3 linked regions of the Arabidopsis thaliana genome follow. The protein of the gene in region 1 interacts with the protein of each later gene in a biochemical or structural test. Each region holds a gene or a part of one and is shown in the gene's direction. Other genes may lie near its edges.

Region 1 (7,695 bases):
TAGTACCAAACATTGAAAATCATCTACTCAAATTAAGAGGCAAATCATATCACTAGCTTTTAATCAAAAGTAAAAGCATAATCTTACCATTATCATTATCATCATGATTATATTCCATACATATTTTTGTTAATCACTACACCAAAACTATGCATTTTAGTATAGTTAGAACAGGGAAATCGTCCATAGAGCTGAGGTTTGGCACATTTGAAAATCTTTATGTTTTGTAGCATTTTTACTAAGTTTTGCTACATTGAATGACAAGTTCAACCAAAAATATTTACCAAAAAAAAAAAAACAAGTTGCTGTTCAACCAAATTCCCAAAAGTAAAAGTGGCAACGGTTGCAAAATTATTCCATCACACGGAAACGCAGCGTTTTAATATTTCCCTTGAAGACAATATAATGCCGTCTTAAGTCACTATCTGAATAACAGAGACATCAGCCAGTGAAGTGGCTGTTGATCAACGTGGAACACGTGCACGATACTTCTTTTATTAGTCATTAGCCGACAGTGGTCTCATAGCTTTCCACGTGGTGTGTTTAGAGATCGAGTTGATATTTTCAATTATTTATACTCTCAGGTCGTTGACAAGGTCGTGTGTCTATCGGAAGTTTGCAAAAGCTCCGGTGACTTGTCAACAACTGCTCCGTCACGTTCCGTCGATTTCAATCGTCTTTACATCCACTTGAATAGTTTTCGTGCATACATTATAGTAACACTCTTCTTTAATTTGCATAATGTATTAAGAATATACGAATGGCTTTTGACAATTGATTTACAAATAAAGTTTTCTAATTAAGTCAACTCCAGATTATTATTAGTTCTTGTCAACGAATGATACCAGTATTATAATTGTTTGTGAAACCCGTTATGATTATAGAATCTACAAATAGGAAACTTACATCTAAATTTTTCTTTACCAAGGAAACCTGATAACTAGATTCATATTTTTTTTTTTGTCATAAGATATTATTAAGGACTTAAAAAAAATAATTCCGAGAGAAATTATTTACAAAAGTGATATATAACTTAAATTTACATTTCTTTTTAGATTAATCATAATTATATCATATTTTAGATCCACTTAAATAAAATACAGTAAATACGCTATTCGACAACTGTAATCACATTCGAAAATTTCACGGGTAGTCGAAACCAAATCATCTTTGATAATAAACAATAATATTTTTTTTTTTTAAACTAAAAATAATAACTATTTAAAAGCGATAAACAAAACTAATTTTTTTTAACAATGTTTTTAGCAAAAATTTTACACGAAAATCTCATAATACTAACACTAAAATGAAAAAAAAAAGAATATTCAAACAATACCATATTATTTTTGTGATTTTTTCTTTAGTTAGTGGTGATACTAACATTCTTTTAACTTTACCTTTAAATTGCTAAGTTTTACAGCACCTTTTTTTTTGTTATTTTTGATTAATCCAAATAACAGGAAATATCTTCAGTAAAACAAATCTCATAATGTTAACACTAAAAAAGAAAACAGAAGGAGAAAAATTAAAAAGCGTTGTTTACTTTTTGTAATTTTGTAATTTGATTTAAGAACACGTTAACATCTACTACGCCACGTGTCAAAATAAACGTAAGACCGTCCGCATCGTAAACTTTCCTCCTTCTCCTTCTATAAAAGTTACCAGACCAGACCGTCGATATAATACGTCATCAGCCACGTCATCGACACCGACACGTGTCGGTAAAAAACCCACACGCCACATGATCCATTGGCTCGTTCGGTGTTAGCCACCGGTCTTCTGATTCCTCTCTCTCTCTTTCTTCAATTCTTCTTCTCTGTTCCCCCAAAAATATTGGGCGCAAAATCTCTCTCTCTCTCTCTCTTCGAGGAAGAAGAAGAAAAAAAAAGAAGCGAAAAGTCTTCTCCTGTTTAATTTATTTGAAAAACCCTAGCACAAGTCCGCCGTCTTTGGTTTGAAGAATCTGGGTATTGATTGATTTTGGCTTCTGGGTTAATCGCTTTTCATGTCAATTTCTCCGGTGAGTTTCGAATTTTCCGTTCTGATTTTGGTGTTTTTTTCTTTCTAATTGATTGAAATTGAATAGCTTTCTCTTTTTGTTAATCCCTGTTCATCACATAAATTTGAAAGCTTTTTGATTCAAGTATTGATTTTTGGAAACTTATGCTACTTTTTTTTTTGTTCTTCTTCTCTTCACAGCTTTTCTGAATCATTTTCGAATTGTCTCTGATGAGGTCTCGTTGAATAGATACAGACTTTGGTTCTCTTGTAATTGGTTGTGTTGAAAGCGCGTTTGGTTCACAATCAATGCCATATGGCTGAAGACAGCCTACGGGTTGGTATGATTTCATCTGGTTTGGCTGTTTTACTGAATGGTGAAGATGCTAAAGAAAATTCCTCGAAAGCTCGTATTGTTCCACATTTTGATTATTCTGGTCACCGGCCTTTAGAACGGACTATCGAATTCATATTTGGTTTAGCAGAAAAGTCGGTTGGTCCATTGGATGGTCAAGTAGACAGTAGCTTGATTAGAGCTGTGATTAAGAATCAGTTCTCGAAGCTTCATGGTGATTTGGATGTTTCAGTTAGTCAGAGAGAAGGAATCAGTGTAGTTCATCATGGTGTTGGACCTCCTATTGTTGGCCTTGAAGAGTTTAGCATATGTGGTGATATCAGGATTGTGAAGCCACCTCTTGTATTGGAGAGCTTAGCACTTTTCAGTAGCGCCAGGGCTAATGCTTGTATTTGGAAAGGAAAATGGATGTATGAAGTCGCTTTAGAGACCTCGGGAATTCAACAACTTGGATGGGCAACACTTGCTTGCCCTTTCACTGACCAGAAAGGTGTGGGTGATGCTGATGATTCATATGCTTTTGATGGTCGAAGGGTAAGCAAATGGAACAAGGAAGCTGAACCTTATGGTCAATCATGGGTTGCTGGGGATGTCATCGGTTGCTGCATAGATTTGAACTGTGATGAGATTTACTTCTACAGGAATGGTGTCTCCCTCGGGGCTGCATTTACTGGTATTAGAAAACTTGGACCTGGATTTGGGTATTACCCTGCTATATCTCTCTCCCAAGGTGAGAGATGCGAGTTAAATTTCGGCGCTTACCCGTTTAAGTACCCTGTTGACGGTTTCCAACCTCTTCAAGAAGCTCCAACTCGATTTTCATTTGCAACAGAGCTACTACGATGCTTCTCAAGACTGCTGGATAGGCCAGACCGCTCATTGGCTGATACATTAAGTCGACTGAGGAGATTTGCCTCAGTCGAAGAACTCTTTTGCCCTGTTTCGTCTGCCATATGTGATGAGTTCTTTTATATACTTGAGCAAGACCCTTTGTTGGCGGAGTACTTAGGACGGGGTGCATTTCTGTCATTCCTCTTGGAGACTTTCAGAACTCAAGCACCGCATGATTCGTCAAGTTTAGACAAAGTTCTTGATGTGTTTCTTGAGTTCCCACAATCTCATTTGATCTTTGAGCATGTAGTAAACGCTCTGGCTTGTGGCTGCAAAACAGCGACACTGATTTTAACCGAGTGTCCATACTCCGGACCTTATCCCTATCTGGCGCTGGCTTGTCATTTGTTTAAACGGGAAGAATTGATGGTACAATGGTGGAGATCTTTGCATTTCGAGTTTTTGTTTGAAGGTTTCTTGTCATGCAGGAGTTCCAACAAGCATGACTTACAGCACTTAATGCCTGTTGTTTGGTGGCCTGGATCCTCTGAAGATATATCCTACGAGAGTAGCATGGGATTTACGATCTCCGCTCTCTCTGAAGCCATTAACAAGGTATGATAGGTTATTTCTGACTTATTTTATTTTTCTATAAATAACCGCTGGCATAAGTCTCCTCTGGAATCTGAGGAACATAATTAAGTAATTCTTTCTCTTGGAATTCAGATTGAGGAGAAGCAGAGGAACCTCTGTCTCTTGGTCATACAATTCATACCACCTGTATCACCTCCCCAGCTTCCTGGTTCAGCTTTCAGGGGATTCCTACAGAACCTTTTATTGAAGAACAGAGGCGCAGATAGGACTCTGGCCCCTTCTGGAGTTACACGCAATTCGGTTCTTGTCTCTTTGTTCTCAGTTATACTCCACTTCTTGTCAGAAGGTTTTGCAATGCTGAAGAGTAGTGAAGCCGTCCATCACAATGTTGGTTTTCTTCACAGAGGTGGTCAGCAGAAGTTTCCATTGAGTTTGTTTCTTAAAAATGATCCACATCGCGCTGATATTACTAGGCTTGGCGGGCTATTTAGTCATATATCGAAGTCCTACCCCACAGATGATCAAGAAGAAGAAATAATGCGGTGGGAAGAAGGTTGTATGGATGATGAACAGAATAGAGTAACTCACGCGACTGAGCAAAAGCCATGCTGTTGCTTAGCTTATGATACCGATCTTACTAAATCCTTGAAGGATCGAGGAAAAAATACTGCTCAAAGTTCTCGTGGTCGATGCAGTTCCATTCCTGAGAGATCCTCTCATGTTGCTGCAGAATGTAGTGCTGGAAGTTTCAGTGAAGAAATAGACGACAAACCTAGCACAAGTAATCAGTCTGACCCTGACTTTGGTTATCGTCCAGTAAGATTTATGCGGACTGCACTTCAAGAGAGTAGAATCTCATCTGCTATACTAAGCGAAGAAGAACTATTGGATGCTCTATTGCTATTATACCATATTGCTGTTGCTCCAAATTTTAAGCAGGTAATTTTAATTATTCCCGTCTTAATTAGATTTTGTTGTATTTTTTGTACGATACATACCACAACCTGAATAAGCTTGAGAGGCTGATAGGTTCTCTTTCTGCTTTTCTTAGGCATCATATTACATGTCTCACCAATCGCAATCAATATCACTTCTTGAAGAAACTGATAAACAGATAAGAGAACGGGCTTCTTGTGACCAAATAAAGCGCTTGAAGGAAGCTCGCAACAACTACAAAGAAGACGTGATGGACTGTGTTAGACATTCCGCATGGTAAGTTTCACTTAACTCATGGATTGCGTTAACTCCAGAAGGAGGGTGTAGTGAAGAGGTTTCAGTTATGATTCATGTGAGGCAACATTACAATCTATATTTTTGCCCTCATTCTGAATCATTTTGTCAGGTTCCGCATCTCATTGTTCTCTCGATGGAAGCAAAGGGGAATGTATGCATTGTGCATGTGGGTTGTACAGCTACTTCTGGTTCTCAGCAAAATGGATTCTGTGTTTGTTTATATTCCAGAGTTCTACCTTGAATCTTTGGTAAACAGCTTTTGCACATTTCTGGTACTTCTTGATATAAATGTCAAATGAACATGTTTCAGTTTCTCTTTGATCAAAGTTAGTAGATCTTCCAACAACTTATTCTGTTGCGTTTTCTCTGTTTCTCAATGAAATCCCTAAGTTTACAATCTCTTTGATTATTTCCTCAGGTAGACTGTTTCCATGTGCTTCGCAAGAGCGATCCTCCGTTTGTCCCATCAACAACATTCATCAAACAAGGACTTTCATCATTTGTATGCCTAAACTCTTATCACACAATCTTTTTTGTCTGTTATTTTTCCTCATGGCTGACTGTTAGTTGATTAGCTCTAACATGGTCATTGCAAATTCTTGGGTTTCCAGATCACTTTCGTAGTTACACACTTCAACGATTCAAGGATATCGAATACAGATCTTAAAGATCTACTTCTCCAGTCAATATCCGTCCTGGTACAGTACAAAGAGTACTTGGAAGCTTTCGAGAACAATGAGGCAGCTACTCGACACATGCCTGCAGCACTACTGGCAGCGTTTGACAACAGATCTTGGATCCCTGTCACAAATATATTTCTTCGTCTTTGCAAAGGTTCTGGGTTTAGTTCTTTAAAGAACGGAGAGTCTTCGTTTTCGTCTACTGTTTTCCAGGTTGGTTAGATTGATTTGACTTTGTTCCTATCTGATCCTCAGTCTACATATTGGATTTTGATTTTCTTTTTCGTCTAGGCGCTTCTACGAGATGCTTGTATCAATGATGGTGAATTACTTTCTACTTTTCTTAACCGTCTATTCAACACACTGAGCTGGACCATCACTGAATTTTCTGTCTCGGTGCGAGAAATGCAAGAAAAGTATCAGGTCAGATTATAAGCTTGGATCATTTTCATCGATTAAGTTTTCGTAGTAATTGAATAGTTTTCCCTGAATGATTGTGGTTCTTATTCTGCATTTCCCTTACAAGTTTTTGTAGTACTCTATTTGCTTCTTTGTCCGGTTTTTGATTCGTCTTGTCTTTATGCAGGTAATGGAGTTTCAGCAAAGGAAATGTTGTGTGATATTTGAGCTTTCAAGCAATCTCGCAAGGGTCTTAGAATTCTGCACTTACGCAATGCCACAAGCATTTCTTGCTGGGACTGACACGAATCTTCGTAGGCTCACTGAGTTGATTCTTTTCATCTTGAATCACATGACCTCAGCAGTAGATGACGAGTTCTTTGATCTGTAAGTTCAAAAATATCCCAAATAGCTCTAACTTTGTTGGAAATCGCTAATTTTTAATTGATATTGTTTTCTTCTTGTTTTGAGATCTGTCAGGTCACTTAGACGGCAGGGACAACCTTCAGAGAAAGTTAGCCGAGGGATCTTATTAGCTCCTTTGGTTGGTATAATCTTGAATCTCTTGGAGGCTAGTGAAGACTCAAAACCAAAGCAACAACATGATGTAATTGGTCTTTTCGCAAGCATGGACTGTCCCGATACAGTCTATTACGGGTTTCAGTATCTCTTGGAATATAATTGGGTACGTAAGCTCTTAAATCTAGTTTCTGCTCGTTTGCTTCTCCTACTGACACAGCTTTTCAAAAACATTTTCAGGACGGTTGTGTAAGCGGGGATGATGCCTATGTAAAGAAACTTGGACAGCTTGAGAACTTCTTGAGCCATCTCATAAACCGGGCTTCATCGCAAGAACCCGAAAGAAAAGAAGAGTCATTCAACAAAGACACGACAGATATAGAAGACAACACTTGCTGTATCTGCTACGCGGGGGAGGCTAATGCAATGATTGCTCCGTGTTCACATCGATCATGTTATGGCTGCATAACTAGACATCTTCTCAACTGTCAGAGATGTTTTTTCTGCAATGCTACGGTGATAGATGTTATAAGAGATAAAGAAGAAGAAGAAGAAGAAGACGATGATGGTCACAAAAGAAGCACATGAAGCTCGGGTTAGTTGCGGTTACAGGTTGTTGATGTAGTAGACACAGAAGGAAAGATCTTTAGGATGGGAGCAAAGGAAGAAGGATTATATAGATTTATAGGATAAATAAGAAAAAACACAAACAAACAAAGGTCTGTGATAATTTTGTAGACCTGGTCTTGTGATCTCTAGGCCTCTCTTTTTTCTTGTATATATGAGAATGAAATGGAAATTATTTAAAGGCTCTCTGTTTCGCTTGGGTTCTTACTTTTCTCAACAGTGTGTTTTGGAATTACAGCGGATTTGGTGGGTTAAACCAGTAAATCGGTTACCCGGTTCGTAATTAGGTTCACTTACACTTGTTTTTTTGTTCACTTAATACTCTCAAAATCCAAATTTATAGGATCTCATTAAACTAAAAAAATCTGATAAAATTTTGGTTCAATAAGTTTTATTTGTTGTATTTTATTTAATTTTCTCAAATTTCTTTGCATAATGTATGTTTATGTAGTTTATTTT
Region 2 (3,568 bases), on another chromosome or scaffold:
AAATTATCCTTCAAAACGAATATCAATATGTATTCATTGAGAGATTTTAAAACTTAGGGATTCATTTGTTGGTACTAGCGTTTAAGTTTTCATAATTAAGAACTACGGATGTATACATAGATATATGATAATTTTATTTTCGTAGTAATTGTTATGATAATCTTTGTTCTTTTGAAGTCAACAACATATATTATGCGAATTTTTAAACTACATTATATGTTTAGCTCACTATTTTATTTTGAATATCTCATAAGTATGTATATATACTTACACATTGTTATAGTGAGTGTAAAAAAGAGAGAGACAGTTTAGTAATGATTGAGTATGCAGCTCGTGGGCACATTATTAAATTGAATGGTATGATGGATATGCGCAGACACTGTCTTGTGTGAACTCAAGAATCGATACAGAACGACGGCATTAAAAAAAAAGAAAAAATTCAATATAAGACGAAAATGATGATGGAAAAAAATTCTTTTATTTTTACCAACGAAATGTATGCGATATGAACTAGTAGTATTTAATTCACTGTGTGAATTAGTAGTAATATTTAAGCATGTGAATATGTTTGTGTACGTATTGTATTGCCACAACAAAACAGCATGTCGCAGCATTGATTTCATTATCACCTAACCGTTAAATACGTCATGGCCCTAGACTTAATGTATTTTAGACTTAATGTATTTTATACCTTATTTTGATATGTGTACGGTCGACCCCCTCACAAAATTGAAATATTACGACTATGCATTGAAAAACTATACACAACTACATTGTCAAATACTGATAAGATCTTAACACAGAAACACATATTATCACTAATAATGTAACGTGACAACATTACATTGCTTTACACACATTTTTTTTAATCTATTTAAGATGATTGGATGATATTGTCATTTTTCTCTATAAATCTAAGATTTTTATTGTCTTTATAATCTAAATTCGCAATTATTACAACAAAAAATTATCAAATCTAAATTTATTTTTAAAATCCACGATAATTATTCTCATTCTATTTCATTGGAAACACCAACCAATTATTTTAAAAAACAGAAAACATATTAATTAAAAAATTGAATTCAAATTCTATTTACCATTCTAAAAAAAAAATTATGCACTGATTCTGTAAACGTTGACACCGTTAACGTAGTCGTAGATATGCACTGATTCTGTAAACGTTGACACCGTTAATGTAATCACATCGAATAAAAGACATATGTTGATCGTGTAAAGGTATAAGATACTCGATCTATAACATCGTTGTCAAATTCCATGTTGCATATACATTATATTGCTTTACACACATTTTTTTATCTATTTGATCGTCTGTGAATTAATATGATAATTTGATGGTATTATTGTTATCTTTATAATATAAATTCGTAATTATTATAACAAAAAATAAACAGTTTTATCTTAATATCCACAATAATTATTTTCATTCTCGTTGATTTATTGGAAAAGCCAGCCAATTATATTAAAATAAATAAAAACAACATATTAATTCAAAAAAATTTGAATTCAAAAAAATTTATCATTCTAAAGTAACTAGATATGCACTAATTGCACTGATTTTGTAAACTTTGAAACTATTAATGTAATCGTAACGAATAAAAGACACGTATCAATCGTGTAAGGTATAAAATACTCGATTTTTAACGGCGCCGTCAAATTCTCCGTTACATATTAAAAGAATTACTATTCCTACTTCACACGAGGCTTTATATGAAAATGACAAGAGTTAATCGTGGCCGTTAACAAATTACGATCAAAACGAAGATCGTCACCATCTTATAACAGAATAACCCAAATGGTACGCGAGCTAGAGACTCTCTAGTAGAGAGAAAGAGAGAGAAACACAAACACGCACACATAACGAGTGATTTTAGAGAGAGATAGAGATCTGGAAGGTGACGTCGTAGGAGATTATGGCGGCGGTTAGGAGAAGAGAACGAGATGTGGTTGAAGAGAATGGAGTTACGACGACGACGGTGAAACGAAGGAAGATGGAGGAGGAAGTGGATTTAGTGGAATCTAGGATAATTCTGTCTCCGTGTGTACAGGCGACGAATCGCGGTGGAATTGTGGCGAGAAATTCAGCAGGAGCGTCGGAGACGAGTGTTGTTATAGTACGACGGCGAGATTCTCCTCCGGTTGAAGAACAGTGTCAAATCGAAGAAGAAGATTCGTCGGTTTCGTGTTGTTCTACATCGGAAGAGAAATCGAAACGGAGAATCGAATTTGTAGATCTTGAGGTGACAACGAAAGCATTATTTATCGAAACTGAATTTTGATTTACAGATTTTGAAATTTTTGAATTCGTTTTTCCAGGAAAATAACGGTGACGATCGTGAAACAGAAACGTCGTGGATTTACGATGATTTGAATAAGAGGTTTGTTTAATTTGTTACAGATATTAAAATTTTGAATCAGTAACAAACATTTCTATAAAATGTCTTTGATTTTTTTGTGTATAGTGAGGAATCGATGAACATGGATTCTTCTTCGGTGGCTGTTGAAGATGTAGAGTCTCGCCGCAGGTTAAGGAAGAGTCTCCATGAGACGGTGAAGGAAGCTGAGTTAGAAGACTTTTTTCAGGTGGCGGAGAAAGATCTTCGGAATAAGTTGTTGGAATGTTCTATGAAGTAAGTTTTTTTTTTTTGATTCAAATCTTTTAATCGAATTTTTGAAACTGATAATGAATTTGTTGTTAGGTATAACTTCGATTTCGAGAAAGATGAGCCACTTGGTGGAGGAAGATACGAGTGGGTTAAATTGAATCCATGAAGAAGACGATGATGATAATGATGATCATTGTTTTCACCAAAGTACTTATTATTTCTCTTCTGTAATAATCTTTGCTTTGATTTTTCTTTTAACAAAATCCAAATGTAGATATCTTTCTCTCGAATAATCAATAACATGTAATTCAACTTTTGTTTGTACTTCCTTGAGGTAATTAATTAGATTCGTGTTTTTCTCGATTAATAAACTATAAGTTTATAACTCTAAGAGTAATTATAATTGTTACTGAAAACTAAATAGCTTCTATTATTTCTATGTATCAATTATCATACAGTATTTGATTTTTTTTTTTTAACAATGAAAAGAGAGTGTAGAGCAGAACAAAAAAGGGTCACGGCTGACGTGGTAAAGGAATATAACTGTTTATTGATCAGGCTTTTTCAGTAAAAAAGTTACTATTTTATTCTCACTTGGATTGGATTGTAGGTGCTACTCTAGTGATTAACTACGAACTTGTTTGTGCTTTACAAGTTATTAAACTAAAATATTGTACTATCTCCTTGCATTTTACAAATTTAGCTATTTGAAATTATATATTTTTTAAAAATAAAATAGCTTAAATATACACTTCCAGTTTTTCCCTCTCAATTTCTTTCAACAAAGTAACTATTTTGAGTTGTATTATTTTATTTTCCTAATTTATCTATCTAATATAACATGGATATTAGATATGGTTGGTGTACCTAACGCCTATAATTTATACTCGATTAGCAACAACCAAAAAAAAGAAGAAGAAGAAGAAGAAGTTGAGTCATTTAAA
Region 3 (3,875 bases), on another chromosome or scaffold:
CATACAAATTAATAGTAGGAAGTGACATAGAAACTATCTTAACATACAAAATCAACTTATCTTTACATTTTTCTAACTAGCTAATCAACAATGTAACAAAAAAATATTTGATTATTGATTGATAGTGTTATTATATATTCATACAAATGAGAAAAGATTTGAAATGATAGGCGAAATTTTTATTGAAAAGTTCTATCAATTTTTTTAAAAGTTTAGGACGACCCTATTCAGGACTATATATGATCATATGGATTACAATGGTCACTGAATAAATTATTTTGAATTATATCATTCCCTCTTGATTTGTCTTAATAATTCCTAAATAAATGCCTAGGTCAGCGAATTCGTTGTTGCATCAGTCACTTAATTATTACTCGATGATTCCTTTTATTACTAAAATTTATTGAAAATGGTCCCATTTATTGGAAGAATAAAGAAGTAGTTACACTAAAATTTAATTATAGTATATGCTTAAATTTGTAAACCGTTCTGGCCATTTTGTATATATATATACATATATGGGCTCTTTAAGACGAGAATTGAGTTTAGTTGTTTACAATTGGTTTTAACTGTACGGACAGTTTAGTTGAGCTTTAATGGCTCATTCTCTATGGTGCTATATTATGGTTTTAACACATGTACATTATTTCATAATACATATGTCATTAAAATGACATAGAGGACAAAATCTGTTGTTGATGTGTATCTGATCAGTGGAAGAAACTTACACATGCATGGAAACTTTCAAAAAGACAACTAAGCATAAACAAGAGATTAATTAGACTTAAGCTGAGTTAGTCTCTATATGACATAATTGATGTTTCTACTAAGCAAACCCCAAACTGTTATTCCCTTTCCAGATTCAAGCATTATTTGATTCGTCATTGATTTCATGGTCTTGGTGATGATACGAACCAAAAAGTTGTATAATTGGTTTATAAGATGTAGGTTCTTACAAAATTGACTATGTAACAAAATTATAGTATTGTTTTAAACGTAAATTAACGAGGCGCTTCTAGACATGTTCCGACAAACATATATAATAGTACAGATGATTTTATAGAATGTAGTTAATCGATGTATCTTCTGCTATAGGTATCTCTAATTTATTGTTCCGACCACCACAATTCTTTTCTAAGTATTTTATAAATTGGTTAACCATGTATCTTCTGTTGTGTAATTATAGCTAGTATCTTCATTTGAAATATTGTAAGGAATAGTTTGTCTAATTGCTTATGATATTTGACCATCTAAGTAAGTTTATGAACTAATTGTTTTTCAAAAAAGGTTGATTAACCTTAATTACGTGATAGTTTTAACATTAAAAGATTTCAACACTATGTTCTGGATGTTAACATATCCATCTCAAAACCATGATAAAACGCGTACAATGGAAGGGATCAAGCTAATTTGACAAATCTCTATTCACACCTCAACCATTCATATATATACCCTCGATATATGTCACATCATTGGTTTTAGCTTTTAATTGATTCTCATAAAATATAAAACCCAATTACGAGAAAAGACTTGTTCGATGGTTCTCATAGACCCTGACCAAATAAGACTTGTTCCTAAACAAATCGAATTAAATAGAGTTGTGGTTTACTCATACTTTAAATCGTTTTAAGAAAAAATAATGACTACTGTTACGTTGCTACTACGTCATAACTACCGAAAATGATTGCGTTTTCAATTGCTTTGAAAGGAAGCCAAAAAGGCAAAAACGGCAAAAAGGGAGAGAAAACGCGTTTGGGAATCTCAACGGCGTTTGTGTAAGAAAATAAAAGCGAAACTCCGTAACGGCGCCGTTATATACCATAACCTCCGTCCGCTCACCAAGGAAAATAAAATCTCAACCGTTGAAATAATCAACGGCTCATGATTCATTCTCTCTCCTTCCCCACCAAAATCTCCTCTGCTTTGTTAAGAAGCGAACCAGAAATAGAAAGAAAAAAAAGCAGAGAGAGAGAGCACACAAAAATCCAAGAGAGAAAAAAATGAGCGAGAGAAAGCGAGAGCTTGCAGAAGAAGCTTCAAGCACAAGCTTCTCACCACTGAAGAAAACGAAGCTTAATGATTCTTCTGATTCATCACCGGACTCTCATGACGTCATCGTCTTCGCGGTTTCATCTTCTTCCGTTGCTTCGTCGGCGGCTTTAGCGTCTGATGAATGTTCCGTTACCATCGGTGGAGAAGAAAGTGATCAGTCCTCGAGTATCAGCTCCGGTTGTTTCACCAGTGAATCGAAAGAAATCGCGAAGAACAGTTCGTCGTTTGGTGTAGATCTGGAGGTGAATTTTCAAAATCAAATAACTCCTCTCTACTTGAATCGATTTAATCAGACGATTTTCTCAGTTTTCGTTTTGATTTTTTATTTCCGTTTCTGTGTTTCAGGATCATCAAATCGAAACCGAAACCGAAACCTCAACATTCATCACCAGCAATTTCAGGTTCATAATCTTTTTGTTTCCCCCCCCCCCCAAATTAGACGTTCAATCGATTTTATTCTCCTTGGCGATTTTTTCTCTGTTTTTTATGGCAGAAAAGAGACGAGTCCAGTGAGTGAGGGTTTGGGAGAAACGACAACAGAAATGGAATCATCATCGGCAACGAAGAGAAAACAACCGGGGGTGAGGAAGACTCCAACGGCGGCGGAGATTGAGGATTTGTTCTCGGAGCTAGAGAGTCAAGACGATAAGAAGAAGCAATTCATAGAAAAGTGAGTCCATTTTTACAATTTCATCATCTCTCTCACGTGTGTTCTTGTTGTTGTTGTGTGCGCTTTGCTTTTTGGGGTTTGGGAAAAATTGGAGTGAGTCCGTACCTAGAGAGAGAGAGAGAGGAATGTGAGTAAAAATGTCTGCGTGCGCATGATAAAAAGATTAACCGACGCGTAGTTTAGCAAATATCCTAAAAAGAGAGAGAATCAGAATCCTAACGAACACACACACTTTGGCACAGGTACAACTTCGATATTGTCAATGACGAACCGCTTGAAGGTCGCTACAAGTGGGATCGACTTTAAGCCATCAAAAAGCAAATACCATCCATGAAGAAGACAAAAGAAAAATAGGTTTTGTTTTTCGTGGTTAACATTTCCACTTGTACAGCTCTAGTCTATTTCTCTTTAAAAACCTATGTTACTAGTTCGTACAAAACAAAACAAAAAACACGACCTTTATAATGAAATTTCGGATCTTGGCTACTAATTACGGTGATTTCGTTGGTTTGTTATGTTTCTGTTTTAAAATCAAAAATGGTTTTGGCAGAGTTTTAAGTGCATGAATATAGAAAGGTGCTTCTTGTTTGGATTCTTTTAAAACATTGGATGCTTAATTATTACAATTATTTTATCTTACTCAAAACTATTATTTTTTGTTTGTCTCATGTCATTCTTATTCTTACACTTGCAGTTTATGTTATATTTAAATGTTTCATGTCATATAGTACCCAATTTACAAAAATATCTGAAACCAAAAATTGATGTTTTAAAAAAAAAATTGGAGAAAAGAGGAAAGGTACATGACATGACGGCACAGTAATACAGTTGGTTTGTACTTCTCTAAAAACTGCGATCATACAAAATACAAATATTATATTTTTTCTATTTTTTTCACTAATATTCTTTTATTTTATTTTGGAATATTCCTCTATTTTGGCACTAAACACAGGGTCCACTTAGTTAAAACCATTTTGGCCTTCATTAGATAAAACCAAAAAGCGGCCTATGCGGAGTAGTAATTTATCCTAATGAAGTGTGTTACTGTAACAAAATATCATCAATGAGTGATACTATATAAAAACGATTACATAGGATATATTTACGTGGATTAGCTTTTTGGTAACGCATTAAAAAAGGTTAATCTCATCAT

What was found.
Region 2: the proteins of RKP (region 1) and KRP2 form a complex in vitro, tested with the Arabidopsis thaliana proteins (one study listed by BioGRID).
Region 3: the proteins of RKP (region 1) and KRP6 form a complex in vitro, tested with the Arabidopsis thaliana proteins (one study listed by BioGRID).

Annotation. Positions count from the first base shown.
Region 1 is NC_003071.7:9,363,448-9,371,142, reverse strand, and holds the start of RKP (uncharacterized protein), read left to right. Parts: upstream 1-1,681; 5' UTR 1,682-2,020; intron 2,021-2,199; 5' UTR 2,200-2,314; coding exon 2,315-3,799; intron 3,800-3,910; coding exon 3,911-4,717; intron 4,718-4,829; coding exon 4,830-4,990; intron 4,991-5,120; coding exon 5,121-5,259; intron 5,260-5,429; coding exon 5,430-5,513; intron 5,514-5,622; coding exon 5,623-5,904; intron 5,905-5,982; coding exon 5,983-6,114; intron 6,115-6,277; coding exon 6,278-6,477; intron 6,478-6,561; coding exon 6,562-6,775; intron 6,776-6,849; coding exon 6,850-7,197; 3' UTR 7,198-7,695. UniProt on the Arabidopsis thaliana protein: E3 ubiquitin-protein ligase that promotes the ubiquitination and proteasomal degradation of KRP1 and KRP2.
Region 2 is NC_003074.8:18,798,577-18,802,144, forward strand, and holds KRP2 (KIP-related protein 2), read left to right. Parts: upstream 1-1,729; 5' UTR 1,730-1,931; coding exon 1,932-2,258; intron 2,259-2,334; coding exon 2,335-2,396; intron 2,397-2,480; coding exon 2,481-2,648; coding exon of another isoform or gene 2,649-2,652; exon of another isoform or gene 2,653-2,717; coding exon 2,718-2,790; 3' UTR 2,791-3,019; downstream 3,020-3,568. UniProt on the Arabidopsis thaliana protein: Binds and inhibits CYCD2-1/CDKA-1 complex kinase activity. Regulates cell division which is crucial for plant growth, development and morphogenesis. May regulate early lateral root initiation by blocking the G1/S phase transition.
Region 3 is NC_003074.8:6,615,781-6,619,655, reverse strand, and holds KRP6 (KIP-related protein 6), read left to right. Parts: upstream 1-1,704; 5' UTR 1,705-2,000; coding exon 2,001-2,294; intron 2,295-2,397; coding exon 2,398-2,453; coding exon of another isoform or gene 2,454-2,545; coding exon 2,546-2,722; coding exon of another isoform or gene 2,723-2,726; exon of another isoform or gene 2,727-2,964; coding exon 2,965-3,028; 3' UTR 3,029-3,326; downstream 3,327-3,875. UniProt on the Arabidopsis thaliana protein: Binds and inhibits CYCD2-1/CDKA-1 complex kinase activity. Regulates cell division which is crucial for plant growth, development and morphogenesis. May inhibit CDK kinases specifically involved in the G1/S phase transition.